2 linked regions of the Bombyx mori genome follow. The protein of the gene in region 1 purifies or fractionates together with the protein of each later gene. This does not show direct contact. Links are inferred from orthologs where the notes say so. Each region holds a gene or a part of one and is shown in the gene's direction. Other genes may lie near its edges.

Region 1 (4,515 bases):
GTCCAATCATATCGTTCAATCTGTAATGTATGATAACCGTTAGTAAATTGATTATTGGTTGATTATTTTATCTAATAAAACTTTGTAAAAAACTTGTATTTTGGTTTTAGGATTTCTTGAAGTTGAGTACGATGTCAAAATCCTTTAAAGCCTACAAAGGATTCATTCCCAACGATTGCTACTATCCCGGTACCTACTCGTTTAATGTTCTCTTTAATATAACTCGGTTATATAATCCAGTCACAGTGACACATTTCTTTATGTTGCAAATATTTCGGCATGCTTTCTGCTTTCGGCTGTGTAATCTCGTCGACCAACCTTTAGACCAAAGAAAGACAGTATCCGTGATATGCGGGGAAGATACGGTCCTGGGTTACAATGGCTTGCGGCCTGTTAAGGGTCTTATTACGCTTCAATGCTTTCGAAGTCACGCTCTTGAGACAGGAGGTCTAAATCTCAGTTATGTAGTATAACGGCAGACCTATGCCTTTAAACCCGAACGCATAACTGCCTTATGCTAGAACTAGACAAGGCACCATAATCTACCCGTGCGGCCATACAAATATCCCCTGTTATAATTTGTTGTTCTTGATTTCCAATAGGTACCTACAGTACTTAGATTATATGAAGTTATTGTTTTAACAGGTGTGATGTTGTATCTACCTGAATATAAGGTGCAGTTTCCAAATTTTAACATCTTTTACTTTTATCCTAATTATGTTCCTTTACCGGAGCATTACCAAATAAAAACTCAGGAGAATAGTTCACTAATAATTTATGAGGTAAGAAAAAAATCTCGATACTGTTGTGCGTAAAGATCTAACCGTCGTAGATGATAAGAATTTCTAAGATATTTTAGCAAAGCATAAATTAGCTTACTTTTTTTCGTGCCCCCTATCATTTGACCATCATCATCGATATTTATCACCGTCCGAAGAGATTTTTTCCGGTTTCTATCCGTTAACTGCAGTTCGTCCCATTGGTGTTAGTCTCATTTTGAGCCGCGAACTTGTTCTCCTATCTACAGCAAAAAAAACCTTAGGCAGGTCAGTATTTTTTGTGTTAAATTATTTTAAACTGTCTTATTTATTATGTATTTTTTTTACAGTATGTCGGGTTGATGGTTGTCTTATTAGCTCAATATTTAATCTCTGGTACATCGAAAGACGTTGAGGACACTATAAAAATAGAACGGAAACTGAAAGAAGCTTATATCACATACACAGGATAATGCGTTTGAAATCTACTTGACAAAATAAATACTGTATTAAATTTCTTGTTTTGTTTGAACTGCATTTCTGTATTTCCGAAATGTACACATACAAATACAAAAAGAGCTGATTACGTATAAAGAATAAATACAATTTCCAAATGTAATTATTCTGTGCTTTACAAGATTCATACCACCAAATAATAATTTAAGGGAACTTACCGCAAAAGATGTGCGTGGCCATCTCTATTATAGTAAGTTTCCACTAACCATAATAGAGACATTACCTTAAAAACGTTTTATTGTATTCAATAGAATATCACCTAAATTGACATTGCGTAACACAGTTACAAAAACATTCGAATTGAAAAATTCCCCCTATTTTTAGCAAAGTCTGCTAACTATACAAATAAATCTGATTTAACAACTTTCGCTTGTGTTTCACACGACAGATATGGTTTCAGCCTTCGTTACTAAAGATTTGGCTATATGGGTAGGGATTCATTAGCCTATTCACTGGACGAATCAAAAAAGTTTGACGTTTGTCTGTAATCTATGTTTTTATGTAAACTTTGAAGACTTTATTGCTCAATGCTCACGGGAAAAGTTTCAAAAATGAGTGACAATATGATTAAAATAGGAGACTATATTGTAATCCAAAAGCAGAATTTCAAAAAGCTTCACAAGTATAATAAACCTAATTCTACTATTACCGTAGGAAGAGACAGTATTAATTTAAATGGCATTGAGGGGTGTCGATACTTTTCTACTTTCAAAATGATAAGTAAAAGTAACAAAAAAGCCAGGGAATACACAGTGGAGCTAACTGACGAGGTGGTCAATCTAAAAGATGAGATTGAGATAAAATTATCTGGTAGTGATAATAGAAACATCGTTGATGATGGACTCTCACAGAAACTGACAGCTGCAGAAATCGAAGATCTGAAGAATGACGCTAATAGGGCTTCAGATATTATAGAATCTTTAATTACTAATTCAAATACCTTTCACAATAAAACAGAGTTTTCTCAGGAGAAGTATTTAAAGAAGAAAGAAAAGAAATATTTTGAATATTTACAAATATTAAAACCTAACCTAAGAACGATAGCAGAAATCATGTATAAATTAGAACCTGGTAAAGTTCAAAATTTAAGAATAGACACTTTGTCACAGATTATTACAACTGTGAATATTTATTGTGAGGGAAATCATTTATTATATGACTCTGGATCTAATGGTTTAGTTGCTGCAGCTTTATTAAGTTCTATTGGTCAAAATACTAATGGTAGACTAGTCCACATGCACCCCGGCAACATGTCTCAGAAACAAGCTCTCTTAGCTATGAATTTTCCAGAAGAACAACTTAAGAGATGTATTTCTGTTAATGTTTATTCTGCATTAAGACAATTTTATCAAGGTTGTGATACAAATTCCAATGAAAATATAAAAGAAATTCCTATCACAGAGTCAAATCAATTAAAAAGAAAATTAGTAGAAAATGACAATGAACCTAGAAGAAAAATTGCTAAACCTGATGAAGAAGTATCTGAACCAGTAATTGATGAATTAAAGGAAAATAGTAACAAAGGTGATCCAAAGATACCAAAATGGCATTTCGATAACATTTATGCTGCACAAATTCTTGAAAAAAAATTGGATTCATTGGTTATAACTTGTAAGGAAGATCCTCAAAATATATTTCTTGAATTAGTTAATTTTATCAAACCTGGCCGACCATTTGTTATTTACTATAATGTATCAGAGCCATTACAAAATCTATACTTAGCTTTAAAATCACAAAGTAATGTTGCAGCATTAAAACTCACAAGCAACTGGATGAGGAATTACCAGGTAAGCTTCTTTATTTTAATTTTGTTATTATTGAACATCAACAACCATATAATTTATCAAATATGTAGAAAAAATCAGTAAGTACCAATTAATTTCACCTCTTAAACATAATTATGCTCAAGTAAACTAATAGAAATTAAGTAAATCACATTATACTGTGAACAGACATGGTAAACTTACTTAATACCACTAATAGAGTGCATGGCATACTGAAAACAATTTGATTAAAGATAAAGACCCTTAATCTATAATCAAAAACTATTTCCAATCATTTCATAATATAAGAAAATGCAGCAAAAAGAAAAATTATACTTAAATAATACACACTGACTGCACTAATAAAATAGATGATAAGCCTGAATCCAAGCAATCATCAAACTTGCATCAAACTTTATTATGCATATCTGTATATTGTCTATACTATTTATTTATAACTTTTTGTAGGTAAGGGATCACACAAAAACTGACAAATTATTGATAATTATAACATAAAGGATACTACTTGTATGTGTAATTATCTTTTTTTGGTGGTCTAAACATGTCATTCAAGGTCAATATCATCAACAGTTGTTACACTGATAATAATATAAACATCATTGATGGCTTATGATTGTCTGGTTATTTATCTGCCTGTTGGAATATATAAAACAATGTTCTCTAAGATGTTAATATTTCCACTGTTGTTCCCACAAAAAAAATTTTTTTCTAGCATGTCTAACAGCTCATTTTATCTCTGAAAGTCCCAAACTTTTAAATATTAATAAAATTTTCATTTGTTTTCACATTGTAGGTTTTGCCAGAACGAACACGTCCAGATGTTATTATGAATGGTGCTAGTGGGTATTTGTTATCAGGATATGTACTTAAATGAGAATTATGTTTGTTACAACTTTATATTAATAAATTTTTATACAAAAGTATTTTTTTTAAAAGAAACACCTCTTTTGATACAAAATTTATTTAAATATTCTCAAGTGATCATAGATGATAGGGATTCATTTTTGTCTAAATGCATCAATTCAACACTGACATGCAATGAAGTGCAGTTGCTGATTTTATTTTCCATAATATTAAAGTTTAAAAGTAAAATAAAATTATCAACCAAGTTAAATAAAATTGTTCTAAGATCTTAAATTTTTATTACTAGAATGAAAATAAGCATGTATGATTTTAAATGTAAAAATTGCACAGTACAGTAACAAAGGTAAGTGAAGGAATGTAAATCAGTCAATGTTAACTATGCATTTGATGTTATTTATAAATGTAAATTGAACAGTGATTTATATTCGAGAGGAACTTTGTTGATGTGTTGCATAATTTTGATGAGATTTTCAAATTAATTTGGCACTTAAAATGTTTAGTTCCTTTTACTATAAGCTACAAAAGCATGGCTGTGTTAAGCTATAAAAAAGCTGCATTTTTTTTCTATAAACATATTTTTGGATTTCATCCAA
Region 2 (4,429 bases), on another chromosome or scaffold:
GAATATGATCTACTAACAGGAGGATGTAATTTCAGGGCTTCTGCATATGATAGACAACTTTTGGCCATAGATTCTTTGATGGATTTTTGTCTAAAAAATTCAGGGCATTTGCGGCTAGTGGCGAAATGTGATCCAGAACAAAGGCAACATATGACATTTTCCTCTTCAATATTACAACTGTCCCCTGAGTGGCCATTACCACATTTAAAACAACGGGGAGAAGACCTACATTGTGTTTTAATGTGACCATATCGACAGCATTGAAAACACTGAATAGTTGGGTATATGTACAGATCAACAGGTAAAGAATTATAACATAAATATACACGTTTTGGTAAGACTTGGCCATCGAAGGTGAGCACTACTGTTTCAATTGGAATAAAATTAGTGTTACCATTATTAATTTGTTTTTTATTTAATCTTCTTACTTTAAGAATAGGTCCACATCCAAATGGAACATTTATATTTTTTAAAATCTCTTCTTCTGTCCAGTCCGTTGGAATTCCTCTTACTACACCCATACGTGTTACATTATTAGTCGGAATGAAAGTTTTAAAATTATTCTTAATTACTGCAGGATGATGTAGGAAGGCATTAGCATCTTCAAAATGGCTAAACGCAAGTAAAATTCTGTTTCGACCAATGCGCTTCAGGCTACCATTTACAATATTTTTAAATGAATTTTTTTTTAAAAACTGCCCAAATGAAATTGGGTGGATAGAGGAGTTATCATTTGGATTTTGTTGTATTTTTTGAACATGGACTATAAAAGGCGAGGCATCTGACGACTGGTAAAGAATTCTACCTATAGACTGCTGTGTCCGCTTTTTGTTGTCAGTAGAAGATTGAGACGCTGAATTTGCATTAATTATCGATTGAGAATTTGACTGCATTGGGGTATCAATGGTTGCAGGAGGGGCTAAATCACATCTACAGTCTGATTCACAACTATCAATAGCAGATTTAAGATGTTTTCTTTTTTTCTTGTTGCAATGCTTGCAGATCTTACTAGCATGTGATCTTTTTCTTTTGGAGTTAGTTCTAGTTTGGTTAGAGCAATCGGAATCTAGTACAGATCCCTCAGTATCTATTCCAGAATTAAAATCAATAGTAATTTCATTCGACACCTGGGGGCCGTAGCCCCCAGGGTCGTCCGGATCAAACATTAATACAATCTAAGAAATTATAAGAATAACTTACCAAATCAAACGAAGAAAATAATAAAACGTGGATTAAATAGATACAAATATACTAAAATATTAATACTATATTACCCAACTGATCCAATTAACATCAAAAATTAATTTTAATTATAGATAAACGACCAGCACATTCGAAGTTTCCCGCGCTTTTTTTCCTGTCAAAAAAATAGACATTTTGAAATGTTGAACTGATTCCGTTTAATTCCATTTAAAGCAATTTTAATATTTTTATTGATTCTTGGTTTAATCGGTGTTTCGTCGAAATTTCAAAATTTGATTAAAATATTTAAATTAAAATACTTTAATAGCAAAAATCCGTAGAACTCGAAATTAAAATGTTGATCATTTTTCGGGAACATTGGTTGTCATAGGAAAAACAGAACGTCGATTGTCAAAACTAAATGACAGACCTCGTGGTTTGTTTACAAACTTATTAGTTTTGAATTTCATAAATAGTTAAGAAAATTTGACTTAAAATGAGTTTTAGAAATTATAAGGATAAAGTAGATGAAGGAGATACAGTGATCTTATACCTTAGTAACAATTTATATGCAATAGATGTTAAGACTGAAGTTAAAAATAAGAAAGGTGAAACGATTGAGAATGTCTTCCAAACACCTTTCGGTGCTTTAAAAGTAAGGAACTTAATTGGTATACAGTATGGAAGTCGGGTATGTATTAGAATTATTTTTAATACCGAACGCTACATTTCATTTATAGTTTAATATTTCTGATAATAACTACATAACCTAACCGACTACATAACAAATAGGTTAATTATTACAGAAGCCCACAGTTATCAATTACTACAAGCAATTTAAAGTATCTGGTCAAAATCTCAACTGTATTATGAAATAGCTACTCTGACCTTTAAACTGGAAGTCAGATAGATGGGAAGATGATATCTGCCTGTGCATGCCTCCGATTCCATGCCCTACTACTAGTAAAAAGTTTTCATAAGTTGCAATTGTGAAAAAGCTAAAATAAAGAAATATCAAAAATTTTAATATTTGTGATACATAATTAACTAAAATGTTGTCAAAGAGGTAAACCTATTTATATGTAACAGAGTAAATGGAGCAATAGGCAGTAACTTGGCATTGTTGATCTCCACGAGCAATTATAAGCACTTACCATTAGGTTGGCTTACATAGATAATAATAAAAATAATGCGAAAATGAATTATTTACTGACTTTGGAATAGCAAAACTGTTTATTATTGCAACATGTTATTGCTGTTTTCAAATCACTTACTTGGAAATTATCAAAAGAAATATTTTAAGTCAAAACAATAAACGAACATGGTTTAAATTCATATATTTTGTGCATTACATGGAAAATGCACATATCCACATAGAAGCAAATCATCTCATAATTAAAGCATATCAACAGATAGAACTATCAAAGGGCTGGGGACACATACTACAGCCAACCCCTGAGATGTGGTCCCTAACATTGCCTCACCGCACTCAAATTATATACACGCCTGACATAAGCATGATCCTGTTCCAATTGGACTTAGTTCCTGGCTGTGTTGTCATCGAAGCTGGTGAGTTGTATACTTGTAGTTTTCTTAAAGTTCCGATTTGGTAATTTTGATTAACTGACATTCTAAAACAATGCCTTTTGGAGAGTGATCCCTTTTATCATATCAGATCATGAACAACACATGTCATCTGATTTAAATATGATAGTTATAATATTCGCAACCCTAAAGCAATATAGAATTCCACCCTAGACAGAATTCTTAGGATTAATTTTGATTAAATGAACTTTGAGAATAACTGTCCCTTAACATAATGTCTGTAGACATGTTAATGACAAACCACATCTTAAACAGTACATAACTCTATGTTAATGCCTACATTATTTTATCAGGTACAGGTAGTGGCTCCTTAACTCATGCACTCATACGTCGCGTGCGGCCAGAAGGGCATGTTTACACTTTTGATTTTCATGAGCACAGATCCAAAATTGCTAGAGAAGAGTTTGAGGCTCATGATGTTGCCGACTTTGTTACTGTGAGTTTATTAACTATTGTACTCTACATTTTTAGTGTAAATAATAAAATAGGCTGTATAAAGAAAATGCAGTGAAATTTAAGTTACATCTGAGACTGAGCTAAGCAAATATGAAATATAATTGTTAAAGAATCAAAATAATTACTACTAACACTTAATACAAAGTTTTTTGTAAGGTCTTTTTTGTTTCGATTTCATAGTATATAATAGATGGTGGAATTATCTATGAGATTTTTAATTGAAATATTAGCTATCTATTCTATACATCTAATCTACATATCTTTTAAATTATTATGGATAGTATTCACTTTGTCAAACCTTAGTCCTACAATTTACAATAAAAAAATCACAAAATTTTTGAAGTAAATTTCAATGTCATATTTATTTTATTCTCATGTATATCTAGTTTCCTTCATCTCAATTCCATTTCTTCCTCATTGTAATTTTATGTGTTTATTCTATAACTAGCGACCCGCCCTCGCTTCGTTTCGGAAACATTAAATTTTATTATTGATAGCTGAGTCCCGCGATGTTACCCGCGGTTAGCCGGGTGAAGCCTCGGGGAAAAGTTAGTCCAAAAAAAGTAGTCTAAGTTACTCCTTATATCATCAGCTACCTATCAGTGAAAGACCCGTCAAAATCGGTCCAGCCGTTCCAGAGATTAGCCGGAACAAACAGACAGACAGACAGAATAAAATTTAAAAAAATGTTATTTTGGTGTATGTACCGTATATTCATATTATGCATGTAGTAAAAAGAGACTATTTCAATATTACAAACAGACACTCCAATTTTATGTATATGTATAGATAAGCCAGGACCTTGAATTTTTTACCCAAATGATTAACAAGCAACTGAAGAGAAAAAAGTCGAAAAATCTGTAGGTAGTTAAAAATGTTTTAGGCGCAACACAGAGACATCATACGAGACGGCTTTTCTGAAGAATTGAATGGGAAAGCGGATGCCGTGTTTTTGGATTTACCCAGTCCTTGGCTTGGAATTTCTCATGCAGTAAAAGCCATCAAAGAACAAGGTAAGACACTAATTTCAACATTTCGGTAGAAAGTTTGAATTTTTCATTTTATCTTGGAAACATTACCACCGCCCCGCCTATTTCTGCTGTGAAGCAGTAATGCGTTTCGGTTTGAAGGGTGGGGCAGCCGTTGTGACTATACTGAGACCTTAGAACTATATCTCAAGGTGTGT

What was found.
Region 2: the proteins of tRNA (adenine(58)-N(1))-methyltransferase non-catalytic subunit TRM6 (region 1) and tRNA (adenine(58)-N(1))-methyltransferase catalytic subunit TRMT61A purify together in Homo sapiens (affinity purification with mass spectrometry; 4 studies listed by BioGRID and IntAct, counting the BioPlex papers as one, with this or other methods). This does not show direct contact. The link is inferred for Bombyx mori from reciprocal best matches to the Homo sapiens genes TRMT6 and TRMT61A.

What each region holds. Positions count from the first base shown.
Region 1 is NC_085121.1:7,673,828-7,678,342, forward strand, and holds tRNA (adenine(58)-N(1))-methyltransferase non-catalytic subunit TRM6, read left to right. Parts: upstream 1-1,743; 5' UTR 1,744-1,801; coding exon 1,802-3,061; intron 3,062-3,851; coding exon 3,852-3,932; 3' UTR 3,933-3,978; downstream 3,979-4,515. Other genes in the region: anoctamin-5, read left to right, coding at 111-189, 646-782, 1,109-1,231. UniProt on the Homo sapiens protein: Substrate-binding subunit of tRNA (adenine-N(1)-)-methyltransferase, which catalyzes the formation of N(1)-methyladenine at position 58 (m1A58) in initiator methionyl-tRNA.
Region 2 is NC_085113.1:5,808,665-5,813,093, forward strand, and holds the start of tRNA (adenine(58)-N(1))-methyltransferase catalytic subunit TRMT61A, read left to right. Parts: upstream 1-1,437; 5' UTR 1,438-1,678; coding exon 1,679-1,873; intron 1,874-2,594; coding exon 2,595-2,751; intron 2,752-3,080; coding exon 3,081-3,223; intron 3,224-4,126; coding exon 4,127-4,256; intron 4,257-4,429. UniProt on the Homo sapiens protein: Catalytic subunit of tRNA (adenine-N(1)-)-methyltransferase, which catalyzes the formation of N(1)-methyladenine at position 58 (m1A58) in initiator methionyl-tRNA.